3 linked regions of the Astyanax mexicanus genome follow. The protein of the gene in region 3 interacts with the protein of the main gene of each other region in a pairwise test. Links are inferred from orthologs where the notes say so. Each region holds a gene or a part of one and is shown on either strand. Other genes may lie near its edges.

Region 1 (7,425 bases), on a different chromosome or scaffold from region 3:
CACTCAACTACGGGGGTTCCATATCATATCATACACAATAATATCACCAACAGTTTTTAATATGGTGAACGATATATGGAGATATTTGGAGTGCATTATTATTATTATTATTATTATTATCATGATATTCTGGATCATCGACTTCTGTTACAAATCTGAAAAAAAATTCTTGTATTTTTTAATATCTCAGTTAAGGGTGTGCCATATCATATCATATAATATCATATGTAATAATAAAATTAAATTTTCATTCTGTTGCAGTAGTGTATTGTTAAAATATTTTTTTCAGTGTTTTGTCATAGAGTCGCCAGGAGTATCGTTATCGCTAAAAATACCAATACTGTGATATTATTTTAGGACCATATCGCCCACCTCTACACTCAACACACTGATCAAACAGTGATTCCTTTACCTGACCTGCTCCCACTCACCTGTAGGATGATATGGCCAACATTTATATAAATTGTACACACCTTAATTTCAGTCGAGATTACATACTATACGAATACTAATACTGATATTAGTATGAATAATATAACATCCACCACCTGGAGGACAGAATCACACACTAATACTCTAGTGATGAGATCATCTCAGCACAAGACTGATAAAGAGCCGTCACAGCCCCAGTCTCAATCAGCCTGATCTCTATATCCTATATCAGATCAGTATCAGATATCTACCAATGAACAGATATTATATTATATTAATAGATATAAAAGGAGAGTAAAGCTCCAGTCTGAGTCTGAGACAGAAGAAGAAGGTGTTATGGGTAAAGGAGGAGGAGTGTGAGCTGCTGACACATCAGTATCTGTATCTGCTGAACTCTGAGTTTAACTGAAGCAGGTTTTAGTGTTGAGTAATAATTCAGTATCAGAGCTGCTGACAGGCTGAAACTGAGGGGTGATGATTCTCCTGCTTCAGGTACAGCAGAGCTTTATATACGCTGGTCTAACAATGACCTGTGAGGGCTGGTGTGTGAGGGGCAGTGTGTGAGGGGTAGTGTGTGGTGTGTGTGAGGGGTAGTGTGTGAGGGGTAGTGTGTGGTGTGTGTGAGGGAGGGGATAAGGTCAGAGCGTTACAGAATTAGAAAGATATTAAGCAATCACATTTACTATAACACACCCACTGCTACCGTACTACTGAAACCTGATCAAACACACAAACACACACAAACACCACTGAGCCTGAATTAGGGCCATATAACTGACTCCTAGTCATAATATGTTTCTATAGTTTTATTAGGAAACAATAAAAATGCTGCATTTAACTACAGCGCATCAGTCCAATTCCTCTGAACTAGGAATTGTGGACTAATAATAATAAAAAAATATTTAGTATAATGATGTATATACAGTACCTGCTTAATATGTTTTATGACAGCAATGTCTAAACGTGCCGCTACTTTTTCCAACATATATTTGTAAAATATTTTACTTCTGATAAAACTCAGATTATATCATACATAAATCCCTAATATAACTGTACTTCTCATCACCCACATTTCTATTAAATTCACATGTTCAGTTCTACACCACTCATCTCTAACCACAATACGAAACTACAACAAACTCCTGTAATATTTACCTCTTCTGTGGAAAAGCCATGCCTTCAGAGTGACAGAAAAAAATCCAACAAATACAAAGTTGATTCTGATCATACATCTGAAGCCATCACATAAATTACTTATATTATTATATTATAAGCATGCAATAGTCACATGCAGGGCATGCAATGGCGTGTAAGGAAAATGAAACTTGATTGATATAAAATAAATATTTGTACTGCTTTTAGGTCTGTCACAATAAATGTATCTCTTCAATATTTTTGATAAGACAATTTAATGCCAATTGCACAATAATATAAAATAGCATAATAATGGTAATATACCCTTATATTAAGATTAAGAATATTTTTAAATCATTTATTGTGCCCAACTTGTCAATAAAAAGGAAATCATTAATGTCAGGGTACAAATTGTAAAAAACGGATATTAAACGTATATTTCTTCGGATGCCAATAAACATATATATTTACAGAGAGATGTTGTAGCTGTAACAGGCCAGTGTTTCTTGGTCTTTTTTGGCACATAATAAATACATTAGTATTGGTTTAATATTCAGTATTGGTTCATTGTGCATTCCTAATTTTTAATATTGCCATTTATACAGGAGATTAACAATATACTGCAGTTGCCTTTTTCCAATATTTTGCAGCCCTAATCTATATTGCATATCTGTATCTAACGTAATCAATACTGATCAATACAAAAAAAGCTAATGCTAATGTATTGGAAACAGTGAAATTAAGGTTTCTGCTGTTGATATACAGTAATTGCATCTGAACCCACATATTCACATTCACATTACACACTAACACACTTGTACACACACACAGCAGCTCTGCTGTCCTTCTTTTACAGCCCACTGTAATGCGCATGCTCACAAGAAACATGTACCGTAGCTATAGAGAATAAAAAGACCCAAATAATGTACATATAGTTTATATGTAAAATATATTCTAACGTTCAGATAATACGTTATTTTGCAGTTTACTGTGAGTAAAGTATCAGAGGCAGCTCTGGGCTGTTTCATAGAGGGCCGGTGTTCTGTCGATTTATGCTACCCGTCGATACGTGCTTCCTAAAGGCACTGCGCATGCGCTAACCAGCGCGTTTTAATTATTTCTCGTGCTTTTGTTTTTTTACAATTAATCTGTTACAATCTGAACTCACTGTTATTGCACAAAGGTGTAAAAGGAAGTTAATAATTATAAAAAAATATATATATATAAAAAATACATAAGCAGTTTTGTAAATTACCTCTCATTGCCTTTAAATTAACTTTACCATGATACAGTGATTAATGCTATACAAATATACTAACCTACATCTACTGGGACTTTCACTGCGAACATGCTCTAATATAAAGCTTATTTTGTATTTGTACAGTTAAATATACACTAGGGTAGCACGGTTTGACAAGGTAGCAAAAATCGACACAACACCGGTCCTGCATGCACACAATAGGCTAATAGGCGAGAGGAGGAGGGGGGGATTATTTAATTGCTCTCCGTTACATCAGAGAATAAACAGGAGCAGAGAAAGATAAATATCACTGCGTGTTTTTGTGGAGTTGAGCTTTTATATACGAATAAATTAATAAATTACCTCAGCTGTCAAATATAAAACAGGAGACTGCAGATAGGCAGGCCCTGAATAAACCTCTTATCTCACACTATAGCAGCGATATCGTGTACTATACTACACAAATAATCTCTATAAATAAAATAAATAAGATAATTAAGCTTAATAAGCAGTGTGAGCATTCACACGCACACCCAGCACGCGCACAGAGAACCAGAGAACCGGAGAACCTGCAGGCGCTGCAGGGCTGAGCTCGGTTAGTGCACGGGGCAGGAGTACGGGAGCTGTAACGGTGGCGCGGCCTCGGTAAGAGCCCTGCTGTCTCCCTGTCCTCCTGTCCCTGTCTTTCTCTCTGACTGTCTCTCTATATCTCTCTGTCTGTCTGTTTGCAGGCCTGCACAGTAAACCCTCTGCAGACGCAGGGCGGGTGTTGCTCGGGCTCTTACCGTGCTCTGGTCTCCGGTCTCCGGGCTGCGGGACTCCGGTTCTGAGAGAGGAGGACACACTGAAGGAGAAACAGGCGGAGAGGGCAGGACGCGCCGCGCATGCGCACTCCTCTCACTCTCCCGCCTATCCGATCCCGAGTAGATATTAGGAATAAACGATGTTCTGTCGAGTTATGCTACCTATCAATATGTGCTTCTTTACCGCAACATTTTTATATGGTAATGTTTATAATGTTTTATGTTTATGTCACGATAATTCCTAGAATTCCTAAAGAAAAAAGAAACAAATAAACAGTAAAACAATAAAAATATATAGTTTCTAATCACGTATATGACATTCACTTTTGGACTTTACTTTATACAGTGATTTAGCCTATCCACATATCCTACCTACGCTTTTGCTGAGAGTATTTTCTAATATGGTGCTTTTTTTGTAACGTTACTTTTATCTTAAAAAAATTGTCCTAGTTCCTAGATGATAGTTTTCTACAATGATCTACAATTTAATAAAATTATAATATTAAAATAAAGAAAATGTATGGAGCCCACAATGTGACATCATGTTACATCATTTTTAAAAATAAATTGATTATTATTTTTAACATGATGTCTCCTTAGGGGCTCCGTATTAAAGTATTTCTTTATTATTATTTTGTTGTGTTTTTAATCTTTGTTAATGTTACCGCTTTTAACATTAAGCAACATTTATTAATCGCAATTAATGCAAATAAAACTGTTACAATGTTTTAAAAATGTAATAATTATTAAAGAGGGGGAAAAGCGGCGCTGTGTCTTTAAGCCGTTGCCATGGAGATAGACTCGGCTTGCTGCGTCATCAGGCGGTGTGTTTACGGGGCTGAAAACGGACTGAACCGAAAACGCGTTTAAATTACAGGTAACTTTATTAATCAGCCTGTTATTAATCAGCCTGTTATTAATCAGCCTGTTATTAATCAGCCCTACTGTTATCCGGGTTCAGGGTTAATTTATACACCGCTGAGTAATTCTGATCCGGACCCGCGGTTTAGCACAGCGCTCACACAGCTAGCTTTTATCTGTTATATATACATTATATCTATTCTATATACATTTAACACCGTATTAACCCCGAGAATATAAGTATAGTGCATTGTTATATGTTATAATAAATATATTAGATAAATATTATAAACAGTACTATTCAATGTCTTTCTTTATTTATTAAATGTATTTATTCAATAATTTGAATGTATGTTGGAGATTAATATATATAACTCTGTAGTAAAGAGTAAAAAAGTGTTATTCCTCCACATTAATCTCCTGATCTAAAGCTGATGATCTGAGATGGTGATTTGAGGTGATTTAATTGGGATGAGCTGGAGCTTCACAGCGTGAAGGAAAAGCAGCAGCTATTGTTCAGCACCTCCAGGAACTCCTTCCTTCAAGATGCTGAGAAAACTATTCCAGGTGACTCTAAATCATGAAGATACTGAGATTAAAAAAAACAAGAGTCTGCAGATCTGAACTCAAAGAGAAAGCCTGTGTCCAGACTGGTACTGAACACAAGATGAAATTTAGAAGAAAAATACCCTCATACTAAACAGATTTTAGTTTTTGAAGTGTGTGTGTATTCACTTTGTACAGTGGTATCTTAGTTTTATTCTACTTGTAAACATATTTGTGTTGTAACTCCTATAGTCTGGTGTTGATCAGACGCTGCTCTCTAGGTACCGTCCTCATCATGTTCTTCTACCATTGTAACTCTTGGTTTAGGAATTAAGGGACTGGAGAAATCATGTGTGAAGGACCTTCGATGATCTCTGGGCCCATTCCACCAGACCCCTCCCTCTTCCCCGAATACTACAGACGACCTACTTCTGGTAGGGATTTGGAAGTTATTTCACCAAACAACACCATAATAAAACATCTCTAAAACTGTATTTGTGTTCATACTGATGTCAGATGGTGACTGTGATCAGTTTTTTCATCAATCATTTATTTCCTTTGTGTCTTATCTTAATGTAATGTTATGTACTGTAATGTTTCCTGTCTATGAAGCTCGGGGTCGTCTGGAGGGGAATTCTAAAAGTGGATCTTTAACTCTAAATGGACCCTTAGCCCCAGACCCTGCTCTGCATCCAGGCTGTTACAGCGCCCGCCCCGCTCATCCTCCTCCTCGCATCGGCCCAAACGCCAAACACATTCTAGAAAGAAGCCAGAAAGGAGAGGTGGGGGCTCTCCTTAAACTGGAGGGAGTCTGCCTGAAGCCCCCCCCTGTTAAACACAGTAAGATTTAAAGCTGGGGATCACCACTGATTTACTAAATCCACTGTAAATCATCAATTCTGATTTAAAATATCCCTATTTGATTCAATATCAATTCATTAAGGTACATTTCAGTTACAATTTCAGGTTTAGCTCAGTCCATAACACAAAAAACAGTGTACATGTAATAAAACATACACATCGGCTGTGCTTCTCACACTTTTACACAACTTCAGTATCAGAAATCACTTTAAAAAGGATTTTTTATTCTAAAAATTAAATGGATTGATTTTCCTTTACTCTGAATATTAATATAACTGTGTCTGCATTTAAGGTGCAACAAAAACTCAAAAAAAGGAAAAAAATGCTTCACAAAAGAAGTTACATGTTAAGTTTTCTCTCTTATTTTTCTCCTCAGAACCTGCAGCTCAGGATTATGGGAAAGAGAACGTGCGACGGCTGCGTGAGATCCAGAGACGATTCCGTGAGCAGGAGGCGCAGAAAGAGCGAGCAAAGCCGGTTCCTGTCAAAGCCCTGTGGAGCTCTCCCAAATACCAGGACATCCCCTCCAGGGTCATGGCCCAGTTACAAGTAAGTATTTCATTTTTTTGGATGGAATTGAATGGAATTGTTGTTCAGCATTAATGTATAGTAATAGAGTAATGTATATTGTATAGTTTATAAACTTTGTGTGCTTGTGTTATCTCTTTCTGTACTTCTGTCTGAAGGAAAAAAGCCACCCCAAAAAGGCAGAATGCCAGAACTTCCTAAGAGCTCACTCTGTGTGTGGGGCGGGGGGTCGGCCTCAACCTAGTCGGCCTCAGTCTGTGTCGGCATCACCCTCTGAAAACGGGCAAAAACCTCAAACAGCAGATCCAGAGGTAAACTCACACATTCCTATAAACATACACACTTACACTGTTTATAGAAAACTGCTTATAACTGAAGCGAATGCAGTTAATTTCGTATACAACTGTGTTTTCATGTTATTAAAAATGAATATCTGATATCTCCTGGTGTAGATGGAGGTGAGAGGACACTTTGTTGACTTTGTGAGTCATAATGCACGCGCTGCGAGAAAGACCGCACTGAAACGCTCTCAGTCTCTACAGGACCTGAACAACAAGCAGCCGCCGAGCGCAGTGAAGGGCCGAGTCCCCCAGTAGTGAGTGATCATATCAAATATATTTAACACAGATCATAGAACATACATATTGACTGAGAGTTAAAACAAACCCAGAAGCATGATTGGAGCATTGTCTCTTTATTACAGTATTTACAGTATCTGCCCATATCAGTGTGTGTGATTGGTCATTGGTATGTTTTTTAATTTTTGCTTCTCTCTTCCTCTCTCTCTCCTTTGTTTTAGTCTGGAAGAAAGAAAGGAGCAGTGGAGGAGAGAGGCAGAAGAGAGACGGAGGAACGCTCCTGACCCGTCTGCACCTGCTGGACACACTCAGATGTCCGACAGAGAGAGGAGAGAAACTCTAAATTCACTCAGAGAAAGTATGTTTTCGCCAAAGCTCTAGTTACAGCTAGACCTGTAGACAACTACCGTGTAGAGATTAAGCTAGCTAACAGATTAAATAG
Region 2 (7,226 bases), on a different chromosome or scaffold from region 3:
TTCATGCCAGACCTTAGTTGTCCTTCCACAGAAAATTATACCAGAATAATATATATATTTTAAATGTTCTGGATTTCAAGAACAACTCTGAACAAAGATTAGTGGAGATCTCTCAAAAAACAAGCCTAAGTAACAGAAGGAAATTTTTAAAATATTTTTTGCTTATAAAACAACCAACCATGAGAAGGCCACAAAAAATACCACAAATAAATATCTTCAAAAACTGAGCACATGTTCACATTACAAAGGATACTTAGATTTCTGTCTGCTAAGCCAAGCATTTGATTGTGAATGTACCAAAAACATTGTCGTCCTACCTTTTCCACCTTGGCATACTTCTTAATATCGATCTCTTTGCGGCCGTTCTCCTCGAGCTCTACGGTACGCACTGCGTCCAGAGCAATGTTACAAGCCAAGCTTGACCAGCGGCTCAGTGCCTTGGTGTTGATGGCGGAGTTGATGATCTTCAGCATCATGCTACGGTCATTCTGGTCAACTGGAGTGCTGCAGGAAAGCAGTATTTTGAGGTTACTGGCGATGTCATATTCAGTGTCTGCATGAGCACGCCACTTGAGCAAACTAACGTACATACTTTCATGAATACATATGTAAACAAATCTAGCTTAACTAGCATTTAATTACAATGTGACTATAGCTGCGCATTTTTTTTTCTAGTGGAGCTGAAATGTGTTTAAGGATTTGAGCACACTACTTTTAAAATGTCCATCCACACAGAAATGCTTCAAATAAAAATACTGTTTCAGCTTAACGCTAAACAAATAAATTAACCATTTATAAACAACTTAAAGTATATCTGAATAATTGTATAATTAAAAACAAATAAATAAAGTAACAATCTACAATTATTTTACACATTCAACCTGAGACCTTTGAAAACTACAAACCAAGCACCTGCTAAAAAGGACCATACCTGATCTCTTTGAGCATGCTGAGCATGTCGTCCAGAGCCTGCCGGTAAGCACTAATCACCACTGTAGGATGCATCTGCTGCTCCAGGAACTGCTCTGCCACCGACAGCATCTCACCAGCTACACACAAACACCACATCTTATTGTACTGTAATAATGATCTTTTTCAAGCAGTCCTTAAGGGCTTTTACACTGGAAATCTGTTAACAGTAAATAAATCTGATCCCACATTCACACATAATACAAGGAGATGACAGCAAAGAGATGATGACAAGCAAACACTTACCCAGGATAATGACAGAGGTAGTACCGTCTCCCACCTCCTCATCCTGAGTGCGGCTGATCTCTATCATGGACTTGGCTGCCGGGTGCTGCACTTGGATCTGAGGGCAATGACAATGGGAGTCAAATGATGCATTATGCTGTATGTAACCAACTGCACAAACCTTAAGATCCTTTCAGAGTTCTAAAATACCTCTCTGAGAATGGCGTTGCCATCATTGGTCATGACAATACCTCCCATGGGGTCGAGCAGCATCTGCACAAATAAAAGAGGCACAACATTTAAAACCATGGATCTCACATAATTCAGGTCTAAAAAAGGAAAAGGGAGCAAATGTTTATGTAAAAAAAACATCTTATACTTACACAGAATCTCACTAAAGTAAGTTCACCCCACACATTTCTGATAATAACTAATTATATATTTTTTATGCGACAATACTATAGAAATTGCAGAAACTTGGATACAACTTAAAACTGTCGGTGGACAGCTTATATAACAGTAAACCGCTGACAACATAAATGAGTACATCTTATAATTAACATAGCCGATATTTTGTGCAAGTACTGTTATTTTCTATCACTGCCTTAATCCTCTTGGTCATGGAATTCAACAGAGCTGCACAAGTTGCTACTACAATCAGTTTTGTTTTCCACTCATCCATGATAAAATCAAATAAGATACTATTCAACTTGACCAACACAAATAAGTACAAATTAAACTATTATCGTAAAAGATGAACACAACAGAAAAAAAGTGGAAGGGTGTGGTCCACAGTATTTCATCACATGATTGGCTTAGAGCTGATGCTGAAGCCCTCAGGGTACATACCTTCATCATAGCTCTTGGTCCCAGACATGTTCTGATTACATCTGCTATGGTCTGAAATTAAATAACATGTTATAAGAGAGAGAACACATTACCTGTAACCATAGACACATGAAACAAGAGAGTCTATACACTAGATTGAAGTTGAGGACATACCTTAGCTGCGTTGATATTTCCAGTCTGGACCTTTCTTCCAGACTCTCTTTTCATATTCTGGCCTAAAGCAAGAGGAGGACACAATGGACACACTAGTTAGCTAGCTGATTGACAGATGCTAATAGTCATTATTGTAGTTGCCTAGTAAACCAAGACATCCCTCATTTCCAGACTAAGTCCTCTAATTTTCTTGCTGACAAGATTTTAAGATAGAAAATCTGTTTTAGACTCTTAAACAAACGTCAAATCCAGTTATCAGGCAAATCCAGGTGAGATTCCCCTTTAAAACAGTTACTTTTTGCAAAGTAATGTCAGGTTTGGCTAAACACCGGTAGCTAACACACACATACAACAATATTATCCACAATGAATTAATCCAGTTACCTAGCTAGCTAACATTTATAGGATAGATTACATATTCAAATATAGCTATAAAACCTGGCAAATAAATTAAGATAGCTAACAGCTAAGTAGCTAAAACAACTAAGACAGACAACACAGGCTACAATGCACTAAACTAAACTCAGCTAAGCTAAGCTAACTACTGTACGCTAAGCCGAGCCTAGCCAGTGACCATGCCATGCCCATGTTAGCCTGTTAGCCTTGCCGGCTTTTACAAAGTAAAACATCCACTAAACAGCGCAGTTCAGCGGCCCGCTGGTTCTCTCGCGCTACATTTATCACTGTACACGTTTAACAGACAAAAACGAAGATTCTCACTAAGCACGAGAACCGGGCGGCCCATCATCTTTGCAGCGTGGTTTTGTTAGCCGGCACCCAAATCCGCACGCACGATGAAGAAGAGAGAACGGGAGAGGCGGGGCCAACGACTCGCTAATGGTCCGAACCAATCAGCGATAAAGAAGCACTGACATGCACCTCTTACAACCAATCACATCATCAGCTTCAGCGTTTTAGGGCGGCGGAGTGAATAAAGAGCGGGGAAGGAGCGTTCAGGGGGCGGGGCTTAGAGAAACCTACCAGAATTTTCCGTCTGAAGGTCTTCAGGAAACAGACTAGCGGTACATATAAAGTCATGATACAGATTTTTTAAATATGACAGTATGTTTTATATTTTATTAATATTATAAAAAGATACGATTGTTAAAAATAGACTAAATTTATAATAAATATATTATAATAATAAAAAAACAGTATATAAGTTACATATGGCCCAATATGGGCTCCACAAAAAAAAAGGAAATTATCTTCATGAAGAAATTATGTATAGAGAACACAAATAATGCCCAAACAATTGTATACAATTATGAATAAATATAATCTGTATTTTCATTTTTTTAATCACATATTCATTTGAATTCTAGAAACTATTTTATTATTAATTTCATTATAGACTGTTGTTATGGGCTGTTCGTATATAAAAAAAAACCCAATCTCTTTTTTTAGACAGGTGTGAAGAAACCTAATAAATACCTTATGTTAATTGCTGATTTTGTCATTGTGAATATATAATCACTACATTTTTAATAGCAAAACAAACAAAAAATAAAGGCATGATGATAAGATTCACAGTTTCATTGTATTTTTGTATTATTATGACCTGATTCCAAATAAGACCAAGCCTACTGCAATATCAATATGTACACTACCGGTTAAAAGTTTTAGAACACTATTTTTTAATGTAATGTATTTATATATTAGAATAGTGTAAAACTATTTTATAATAATAAAAACTGAAAAAGTTATATCGAAATTTACTTATAGGATACTTTTTGGTCCATCTGTCTTAATTGTTAATAATTTGATTCTCAGTAGTATAAGCAGGCCTTTAACAACCAGTTTCTAAACTAGCTTCTTTAACAATTTTTGACACAACATAATTTAGCGTCATGTTTATTATTTTTTTGAAGACACAAGAAATCACTTAGGTACAACAAGGTATTCAGGCATAATGAGGTAGTGTAGAAGTGCCATCAGTTTTACCAACTGTCCAAAGCTAAAACCCACTCATCTGAATCCAGTTCATTTAAGACAGTGTTTAAAGAATTAGTTTAAGGAGCACGTCTTCTCAAGCCTACAGATTCCAAACTAGCACAGCAGTGTGCTAGTGTAGCTAGTGTGAAAGCCTTTAAAATACAGTAAAAACAAATTGTTAACAACAGCCAGTGGCACAATGTTTAATGTCTTAAAACATAAATACAAAGGTGTTTTATGTGGAGAAATCTGAATTGTGTTTACAATTTACAATGATGTGATATAATACCCAACCATTTAATCTTATATTTTAATCTTATACCCAATGAATTAAAATATTTTTGTTAAACACAATTTTAAACATAACATTCCTCTTAAACACACATTTTTTTCAAAGGGACCTTACATGTGATCAGAATTGGCCTGTTAAAAAATCAGGTTTGAGAAACGCACTGTAAACATTTCTTGAGGATTTATCAAAGTTCTTAATGCCTAAAATGTCATCTTAAAACATACACATATAGTTCCTGATGCATTTAGTGCCTGTCCTGGACAGTAGTGACAGTAACTCTTATAAAAGCAGCATAAACTCTTAATACTTTTCACTTTGGAAGAAATAGTGAAAGGCACCAGTACTTTTGACCTCTGCTGCTTCACAATCCCAGCCAATGTTTTCAATTTCAACTGCAATTCCAAAATGAATAGCTGATTCACAGCTGATTTATATTATAAAATTATCATCTATAAATATTTTAAAAGTCTTTTTTGTATGTATTTAAACAAAAATAAACAACATATATGTTTTGATCAGTTAGTTTGTGCCCCTATGCAGGGATGTATATTATTACAATAACATAATATCAAAACAAACCATATATGACCTGTGACTTAAAAATAATGTGAAATGCAAAAATGACATGAAACATATTTTAACTTGGAGTAGTCTTCTTATAAGAAACTTTTGTGTGGGTGATGGATGAGATATGGATCAACAGGCTAAGCTTATTAAGATAGTCCCCATGTAATGCTATAAGCTTGCCTAACCATAATAGCTTTAATATAAATAAATTATCTAGTATGAATTCATTTCAGCGCTTAAAATGTTCAGGCACATCTATTGTAAGGACGCCCTTACAGTGATACTGCACCATTAATACAACATCAGTACAACAGTTCCAAGTCTTTTCAAGTCTTAAAGCCTTCCAGTCAGTCTGATTCCAAGTTTAAGTCAGTGAAGGTAAAGTTAAAGTCTATTTGCATTTTTTATTCTGTCGAGTCGAATCAAAAAGTCATCAAATTTGTGACTTGAGATGGAAGTTACGTGAGTTGAGTTCACAACTCTGGAAACTACTATAAGCAGTGCTTGTTTCAGGCCACAATACGCTTGGAGCAGGCACTCAGTTCACAGAGCCCAATGCACAGCACATTCACTATTGTATCTCCAGCACCTGAACTCTTCTTGTTTTTGTAGTTGTGTCAAATTCAGAGGTCATCTCTTGAAGTGCTTAAGACCAGCGGATGTGTAGCCTCTTTTTTCAAGAAGCTGATGAAGTCACTAACCTCACGCCCACCCTTAAGGAGGAAATGCAATAGAAAAAGGAATAAAGCTGTATTAGTTCAGAACATATAGATATATGCTTTCTTTCTAGATGTAAAGTTCACACGCAGACCTGTATCAAGCTGAATGTATACAAATTTTGTTTTACAATTTAGATATAGTGCTTAGACAAATTAAATACATGCTAATTTAATTGAAATACTGTAAGGATAATTCTATTCTTAAATGACTCTTAAGTGTATTTTTTACAGGTTAACAGCTATAGTAAGAACATACCTCATAACGTCTTGGTTGGTCTTTTTGTCCAGCAGGTGCAAAGTAAATTGTTGGAAAGCTAAAAAACAAACAAACAAACAAACAAACAGTTTAAGGATTAATTTTATATGTTAGAATAAAAACGCAGTACGGTAATCAAGAATGCATAAGACATTAAAAAGCTTTACCCTTGTACGTCGTAGTCTAAAGGAACATCATTGGCTGTGGCATCCATCTTAGCAATGACTATGTTGGGATCACTAGACAGCTGAGACACAATACCAGATCATATTACAAAATAAGAAATATTATACTCTGACCACAAAGCAGTTAAATAAGTTTAAACATGTATTACCTTCTTTCCAAGCTCAGTATATTTAGGCTCTAAATTTTTACAGTGACCGCACCACGGAGCATAAAACTCCACCAGCACATCTTTCTCTGGGTTGTTTACAATCTCCTCAAATGTGTTTGCTACAACAACCTGTTGATGAATAAAAAAAAATACTTATTTAAAATAGAATCTGTACTACATTTAATAGGGTACTGCAGTATCTATAGGTTAATACATACTTTGACAGGACCACCGTTTGACTCGGGGGCAGCCTCCGATTTGACGTAAGGCTTTAACCGTTTGGCAAAATAATCCTCTAGGAACTTCTCCAGGGATTTACCATCTCTCCTGTGATACACAAACACAAACAAGATATACTGGGTATAAAAAAATAACATCATGATACAACACGCATGATACAACACGCAACATTATTTCTAGCAGATACATTTGGTTACTGACATTCATACCACCCCAATTGGCCAATGCCACCAATGTAACCAATGTAGCTTTTCAGGTTTATCAGTACATTACTGATACGTTAGATAAATTAATTCCAACACCTGACACTTGAAATTAAGGTAATATGTTTGGTGCCTACGCTTTAACATTTCAAGATTTTATTTATAAATAAATGGTGTTTCATTTTATTAAAAATGCATTTCTGTCTTATTTCCCTCATCCATAATTGAAAGAGCAGCAAAAAATCTTTCTTTTAGATTCCCTACTGAGAGTCCTACTAAAAGGCTGCACAGAAATCAACTGCATCTACTAATTGGTGACAGATTTTTATCTGTCTGCACTCAGAGAGTTATTTTTAAAAGATACATACGTGAACTCCTCCTGCATGGTGTACTTTTGTCCTGCTCTGGTCCTGATGGTGATGACAGGCAGCTCTCCTCCAGAAAGCCCCAGCCCAAACTCCTCCTCCAGCTCGTCCAGGAAGTC
Region 3 (7,851 bases):
ACAAGGCTATCTAAATTATGATGATGTATGCACTCTTTTTTTTTAAATAAAAAAAAAAATACAGTTGGTCAGTGTTGAAGAAATCCAAAAGAAAATCAACATTAAGTGTATTGTTCACATAATTTATCACAATAAGATAAAATACCTTAGTTTTGCAGACCTTTCTGTTTCGAATACCACCAAACATGTTACAAGTTTGCATTTTCACAGCTTTAGAAGCTTTTGTACCCAAATCTGTGGTCTCCATTGTGCCAAAACCACTGCACAGACCTGTTCCAGTGCCCATGCTCTGACTGAGGCTAGCAGACGTAATGCAAGCTGCAGAAGGATGAAAGCTCTCCAGTGTGGAGGCAGACTACAGCTGGCTTCTACAGTGCTGCAGCTTCAGCCAGAACAGCCTAATCAATGCCTACATTCACTGCCTATGGAGGAACTAATGTGGGGACACTATTAGCTAGATGACAGATTCAATGTTAAACAAACACTGTGATGCCGAATAAAAAATGAAGATTTTTTTATGTATATGCAAAAAAAGATCTATTTTTTATAAAAGAAAAGGTAACCTAATAATTATTTTTTTAAAGCCCATTCAGCATGGACTGCAGGATTATTTTAGATTGCTGGTTTCTTTTATAAAGCTATAATTCTGCTTGAATACAGTCCAGAGGGTAAACCAGGCTGTTGTTGTTGTTGCTGCTGCTGCTGCGGTTTCCAACAAGTAACTTAACGTTAAAGTTATCTAACGTTAGTTAGCCAACCTAGCTAACCTAACTTGAGGTGTCTTTATTTTTTGTTTAAGTTACTTGTTATAAATGTACTTGAATGTATAAATTCAATTTAACAAAAAAAACAAAAACGAACTAATTTGGTAACTAGCTTATCTAAGTTAGTTAACCTAGCTAGCTTAGCTTAGCTTAGCTAACGTTAACTAACTAGTTAAGTTAAGTGGGCTATTCATTAACATTGTTTACACTCTGTTTATCATTATTTATCCACACAATTTTGAACAAACTTACCGTGAACTCCTTCACTATAATGAACGAGGATAAATATTATCCAAAACTTAATTCCCATTTTAGCATCCTCTGAAACGCGACTCGGTCGCTTCACCTCAGCTGAATCAACAAGACCAGCAACTTTAAACAGGCGCGGTTGCTGAATCGCTAATTTACTCGGTATTCGCAGCAGCAAGTGCCGAACAGCGGCAGCAGCAGCTCCACAGTCCCGTCCCCAGAGTCTCCAACGCAGCCAGCAGCAGCAGCAGCAGAACCCCGCTCAGACCTCATCCCCGCCTGAACACTCTCCATACTCCACACACAGCCGAGCAGTATCCAAACATCCCGGCTTCACGGTCTTGGTTCAGTAAAGGAAACTGGACGGAGCTCCTCACACTTCCAAATGTTTCAGCGCTGTGGGGGAATGTGTGAAATCCCACACAATGCCCTCTAGAGACCATCTGCTGAAAAAACACCAAAACTCAGTGGATCCAGCCACCACCTCAAACCCAGCTCTTACAGAGGGCAAACGATATACAGCTCTAAAACAATAAGAGACCACTTAAAATGATTTTCTTTGAATTTACCAAATTAAAAAACCCTGAAATATAATCAAGAGGAAGATGGATGATCACAAGCCATCAAACCAAGCTGTACTGCTTGAATTTTTGCACCAGGAGTGGTATAAAGTTATCCAAAAGCAGTGTGTAAGACTGGTGGAGGAGAACATGCCTAGATGCATGAAAACTGTGATTAAAAACCAGGGTTATTTCACCAAATATTGATTTCTGAACTCTTAATTTGATTAAGAACTTGTTTTCTTTGCATTATTTGAGGTCTAAAAGCTCTGCATCTTTTTTGTTATTTTGCCCGTTTCTCATTTTCTTCAAATAAATGCTCAAAATGACAATATTCTTATTTGGAATTTAGGAGAAATGTGGTCCGTAGTTTATAGAATAAAACAACAATGTTCATTTTAACCAAACATATACCTATAAATCATCAAAATCAGAGAAACTGATTCAGAAACTAAAGTGGTCTCTTATTTTTTTCCAGAGCTTTATAAGTATATAGAAATCACTGCATAAATATGCACAAATAAATAATTTAACTGATTTTCTCTACATGGCAGTTCCTAAAATCTCAACTGAAGAGTAGGGCCTGGTAGTTGCCAAGTGTACCAACAATCCAAGGCCAAATGTTTGCTTAGAACCAGGCCACAAGAGGCTAGCACAAATTGTGTGTCTAGTAACATGTTTGAAAAAAAGTGGTGGAAAAACAGTTAACCCATACGTACCATGTTAAATATATTTATAGCTATTTTCCTAGCTATAGGACCTCTAGGCCATTGACAAACAAATCTGTACATATCAGTTTGCATTTACATTTTTTGTACACTGTACCCTAAAACCCCACACTAAATAACGTTATCATTAAATGTGGTTTCCTTTAAGAGAAAATCCATCACTATCAAATGGCAAAAATAAATAACAGTAATGCTCTCATCAAATGTTTAGAATTTGCAAAGCAGATATTCAGTAAATAAGGCTTGTTCCCATTATTTGATAAGGGAGGAAATAAGTAGGTAGTGATCGTAGACCTAGGGGCTGGAACTTACCATAAAGTACCTTCTAATTTGGAACAGGATCTCCTCTCAGGAAGAGAAGCAGCCACACTAAATAAGTGTACACAACAGAGATAGATAGATAGATAGATAGATAGATAGATAGATAGATAGATAGATAGATAGATAGATAGATAGATAGATAGATAGATAGATAGATAGATAGATAGATAGATAGATAGATAGATAGATAGATAGAAACACATAAAAGTAAGAATATATTTAAACATAAATGTCCTTAGAAACATACTAAATAATTGTCTTACAATATGTTCTCGTTGTCATCTTGACCTTCTTTATTTCTATGATTTGATGAGCAGACAAATAAAGGCATTTTATCATCTCTCAGGCCTCATCTGTTCAGGCCTTGAAGATGTTTTTGCTGGAAGCTGTTTATGATTTTTATAGGACTGAGATGTTCTGCTCTTATCAGTACACTTTTCTTGTGCTGGGCAAAACTAAAAATAACAATAATGTGAGCTTTGACCACAAGAGTATGAGCTACAGGAAAACAAACTAAACTCTCCTCAGAATGGCCTACATGACCGTTTCACATAGCGTAAGGTTGTGTAGAGACATTTTCTAATCACTCATTTCTTTTCAACTTTTTCAGAGACTTTAAAAGGCATGAAGATTATTCAACTGCTAGAGACTGATTGTTCTTAGGACAAGGAGAGGACAAGATTATATGAGATAAAAACTTGTACACTCATCTTTATGCTGTTGGAGCCCAGTAATCTCTCTTTTCAGAGATGAAGAGCATGGTATTAATATGACATTGTTGATGTCATATCGATAGATGGCATTTCATGTTTTTAAGTTTAGTCATTAATATTAGTAAGTAATTAGCAAGATTTTAAATGAGATTAAATGGCACTAAAATATAGTAATAGAATTGTAATAGTAATAGAAATGCACTACAGGTCAGATGTTTTAGAACACCCCCACATATATCTGATCAAATATGAGATGCACAAAAATATAATGGCTGTAACCAAGTCTGTGTTACTTGGGGGAGGGAGGACATCCAACTAGTATTTGATTAATTCCCACTTGTTTCATGATGTGTCAGTGTGTAAGTGCCAGACATTTAAAAACTGTGGTGACAAAAGAGGGGTTAGGTGTAAAAGCTGTGGATGAAAGCTTGTCCTGAATCCACAACATAAACACTGTAGAGTATGTCTATCGGCATAATGTTACGTCCACATCATGTATTGCACTAATGTTAGTTGCTGTAGTTTAGTGCTAAGTTTAGTTGTAATGTTTTTAAATTTCCATCTTAAATAATAAAAATAGAAAAATATGTACTTTGACTTCCAGTCTCGGAGTAAACAACATTTCCTAAGTTTCAGACACAGTTATTATTTATTTTACAAATACATACATAAATTCATAATGGCTGTTTACAGCATATAGAGGGTAATTATTAATTACTAAAATTGCAGACTAATTAAACTCAATAAAACTTTATGTTAGAGTACAAATCTCATCCCTTATCAATTGGGGATGAGCCCTGCATTGTGTAAATTAGTTAATGAAGTTAGCTAAATCTTGGAAAGCTATTAAAATTGCTTAAGTCACATTTTATTTAGACCTAGTTTTAATAAATTAGCCACACTTGTGACATTATCCTAAAGGTGTAGAATCAAATGATCTGTTCAGCTGAGGGTGTAGGAAATTTTATGTAGGTGGTTATTTTAGGAAGGTAACAATATGAAAAATATTAGATTTAATTAATATTATTAATTCCTGAGCAGTCAGCATGTGTCTTCAGTTCCTTATAAATAAAACAGTGTGAAGGTTGTAAAGTCACATATCTGTTAAACATGCAGCAGCTACAAATAACAAATACAAATAACTGAAATGTATAAATCATTTAAAAGCATGTTAAAAATAAAAAAGGGTTTGTTGGGTTAGTTAAACACTTTAAAGGATTATTAAAAAGAATCGTTGCCAAAAGCACATGCTTACATAAAAAATATATATATAATGTACACGATCTAGAGTGAAGGTTAACATTCCTCTATGTTTCTAAAATGTGTTTATTCAGAGAAAGTTGTATTGTTACAGATTGGTGTAATCAATTTCAAAAACTATGCTTTAGAGACAAAATGCAGGTTATACTGAAATTTACCCATAGGACCCTTAAACCTTGTGTAGTGCACTAGGTAGCTGGTGATTATATAGGGAGCGATAGGTCGTTTGAGATTCGCCCAGACCTAGTTTGAGATGAGCGTTTTCCAAAACCCATCGTCTGTCCTCCTCTAGTGGACAGATCGCGTATCATCAGGTTTTCTGCTCTGTTCACTTCCCCCACTGCTCTCCTCTGGGCTGTGATCCGGAGCCTGTCCCGGGCTGTACTGTAGGAAGTCTCTCCGTGACTTTTACACAGTAGTGTAGGTAACGTACACAGAAAGTCAGCCATGCTCGCCGTGGTTTCCATGGTAAGTTACAAAGCCATGTTGATTGCGAGTCACTGAATGCTAACTTTCACTTTGATATTCAGCTCATAAACGGAATAATAACTTGCTCACAAATAAGTTTTGACAGTGAACGTAGTTAACTAGGTAAACTAGTGAACGAAATCACAGGTTATGTGTGGTATTGTTGTAACGTTAGTTAGCTAACTAGCTAGCCAACTGAGCTAGCAGTGAAGCTAAGTTAGTAAGCTAGGTGAGCTAACTTAGCTAACTTAGTAAAACTGGTTGCTAAAACTTTATACGTGTTTTATTTTGTGCTCTGCTTGTGTGTCACCGGCTCCCCGTCCAAAGGGGGTTTGTTGTTTCTCTCCTGTGTATCAAGTTGCCTGTAGGTTAAGTGTAAACGGAGACGCTGCGTGTAAAGTCCTGCTGTCAGATAGAGTTATCTTTCAGTTCTGACTCATGAATTTAAGGAGCATGGCACACGACGTTAAAAGCGCTGTCCAAAGGGCGAAACATAAAATATCAAGTCTGGAGAATGAGCTGTATTGTGCGAGGTGAGTGCTGGAGTGTTTAACAACTTTCTGAAGCTCGGTGTGAAACAAGAAAAAAGAAAGACTGAGTAAAACACACAGACACACACACAGCAGACGTTTGGTCTAGTGGAGCTATGGTTATAAATTTATTGGTTGTTCCTTTTTTTGCACTAACTGAGTCTCAAACTGAACTTAAGGGATCTTATTTGTTTTCTTGGCTTCTTTTGTGGGATATTGTAATAATTAAGAGTATTTAACACATTTGACCAACACTGCAAGCCAGCTAGTAATACCAACAGTGTTGATTGTTAGTGTGTAGTGTCTTTATAATATTTAACTTATATATAAATCACTTGAGACAAATATATTTACATTACATTGTCTAAACAAAGACTTTTAGGGTTTTGATGTGAAATTGTTCATTGTGTAATAGAATTACTAGGGTCTGCTTCCAAAATGTATGTATGTATGTAAGTAGTGGTATCTGACAACAAAAAGTATGAACTATTTTCATTTTGATGAATGCCCCCACATGCACCTCCACTATGGCTGTATGCTTTTTTTGTGAAAGAATTCAATGTAAAAGTAAAGCACCATTATTTTATATTTCACAGAGGTGTATATTAAAGAAGTATAATTGCTGCACTAAAATGTGTACCTGCACTCTACTGGGTAATTATTCTTTTTTACAAAAGATGTTGAGTACTTAAATACTTCCGCAAGTGTGATGCTTAAAGAACACTTCATCTACTACTTAAGTCCATTTTTGATAAAGCACTTGAGCTTTTACTCAAATCTCATTTCATGAACTGAAAAAGTATAGAAAAATAGTAATAGCAAATTATTTTCACAGATGTCTCACCTTGCAGAAATTTAATTGTTGTGAGGAGTTTGCTTGTAAGATGTCCTTCTCTTCACTGTTCTATTAAAGAACACTGCACAGTAGAATAGTGCATCTCCACTCCTGCGTCGCTTTAACCTTCGTGAAGGGCGTTGCTATCACATGCGGATTTGTTTCACCTTTCTTGCTAACATTGACTTCCACAGTTTCCTTAACTGCTATTGAATTAATTTATCAGCTGAGAGCACTTTAATTCTTTTTTATGCGCTTGCCCTGCTTTGTGGACATCAGTTAGCTGCTAAGAGAAGTCCAAAGTTATTGAGAACTCAAGGTTTGCCATTTAAGAAACGTATCATGCCCCAGAATTATAATATGCAGCTTCCTTATGATGAGCATTACCTGCCAAACCTGTACTAATTAATTGCTAGTTTAAAAGTACAGATCCTGAATACTTGAAATGTTTTTCAACCTCTCTTTGTCCCTCAGAACAGGTGTTTTTTGTTACTTTGTGTTTGATAGCTTTGTAAATGTGCTCTAATGTTTTGCTTGCATTTAATTAATTTTCTGGAGCTCCAGTTTTAACAGTTGTGGGTCTGTGAACCCCAAATTCTTTGTTCGGATTTGTATTCATTTTGCCACTTTTTTACTACTGCAAAGTTCTGCTGCTGCTGCCACTTAAAATACCTGTTCATCTGTTAAAGAAAACACTGAACAATGACTTTAAATAAACGCCTCCTTGTTCAATATAAACTATTCAGTCTTTTAATTTATTAACGTTTTTTCTGGGGAACATGTTCGGTTGCCAAACAGTTCTCTAACCCTTTTTATGCCTTGGAATAAACCAATAGTTTATGGTAACTTCGTTATGGTTGTACAGTAAAAGTTGTTCCATTTTTCAGGCAGCTGTGATTTTGTTGCTATAATAATCCAATAAATGCTGTGTATGGTAAGTGGTTGCTATGGTATTCCAGATACTTCCTATTGTGTTGCCATGATATTGGTAGATGGTAGTTTCTAAGGTTTTGCCAAGTGTTGCTACATGCTGTATTGTATTGTGTTGCTATGTAACTGTTATGGCATTGCTGTGTGGTTGCTATGTGCTTGCTGTGGTATTCCAGGTAGTTGATAGGTTGTTGCTGGCTTTGCTCTATTTTCTGGCTCAAACATACATAGTCCAAGCAGAGTAAAGACTTTTGGCACCACTAACCAGATACCCCTCGAGAGAGTACATACAGTGATAATGGAGCAAATGGAGCAGACTGGATTTAACCATGACCTAAAGTACAGTATTAGCATTTGTTGTTGCTAAAGGAACTATGTGGTGGAATGACTTGGTGATGGAGAGTTTAGCGATAGATCTGCAGCCGTTTTTGACCAAAGTTTTTGTATCATAGCTAGAGTAGCAAACGTTGTGCATCCCATTCATTCCTATAGG

Evidence for each region. The genes of interacting proteins can lie anywhere in the genome.
Region 1: the proteins of mipol1 (region 3) and enkd1 interact in binary tests that used the Homo sapiens proteins (3 or more experiments, as listed by UniProt). The two-hybrid records come from large-scale screens. The link is inferred for Astyanax mexicanus from reciprocal best matches to the Homo sapiens genes MIPOL1 and ENKD1.
Region 2: the proteins of mipol1 (region 3) and cct3 interact in binary tests that used the Homo sapiens proteins (3 or more experiments, as listed by UniProt). The two-hybrid records come from large-scale screens. The link is inferred for Astyanax mexicanus from reciprocal best matches to the Homo sapiens genes MIPOL1 and CCT3.

What each region holds. Positions count from the first base shown.
Region 1 is NC_064419.1:253,115-260,539, forward strand, and holds the start of enkd1 (enkurin domain-containing protein 1), read left to right. Parts: upstream 1-4,401; 5' UTR 4,402-4,486; intron 4,487-4,901; exon of another isoform or gene 4,902-5,037; intron 5,038-5,343; 5' UTR 5,344-5,365; coding exon 5,366-5,450; intron 5,451-5,628; coding exon 5,629-5,856; intron 5,857-6,253; coding exon 6,254-6,426; intron 6,427-6,563; coding exon 6,564-6,716; intron 6,717-6,857; coding exon 6,858-7,000; intron 7,001-7,204; coding exon 7,205-7,341; intron 7,342-7,425. Other genes in the region: vdac3 (voltage-dependent anion-selective channel protein 3), read right to left, coding at 3,592-3,692. UniProt on the Homo sapiens protein: Microtubule-binding protein which regulates microtubule organization and stability. Promotes the stability of astral microtubules and facilitates the proper orientation of the mitotic spindle.
Region 2 is NC_064413.1:41,352,302-41,359,527, forward strand, and holds the start of cct3 (T-complex protein 1 subunit gamma), read right to left. Parts: upstream 3,025-7,226; 5' UTR 2,945-3,024; coding exon 2,917-2,944; intron 2,259-2,916; coding exon 2,197-2,258; intron 2,095-2,196; coding exon 2,044-2,094; intron 1,468-2,043; coding exon 1,405-1,467; intron 1,313-1,404; coding exon 1,216-1,312; intron 1,050-1,215; coding exon 932-1,049; intron 505-931; coding exon 318-504; intron 1-317. Other genes in the region: pdia7 (protein disulfide isomerase family A, member 7), read right to left, coding at 5,614-5,703, 5,966-6,023, 6,133-6,212, 6,300-6,428, 6,518-6,626, 7,111-7,226. UniProt on the Homo sapiens protein: Component of the chaperonin-containing T-complex (TRiC), a molecular chaperone complex that assists the folding of actin, tubulin and other proteins upon ATP hydrolysis.
Region 3 is NC_064421.1:18,849,510-18,857,360, forward strand, and holds the start of mipol1 (mirror-image polydactyly gene 1 protein), read left to right. Parts: upstream 1-4,825; 5' UTR 4,826-5,063; intron 5,064-5,421; 5' UTR 5,422-5,501; coding exon 5,502-5,596; intron 5,597-7,851. Other genes in the region: tyrosine-protein kinase receptor TYRO3, read right to left, coding at 1,017-1,074.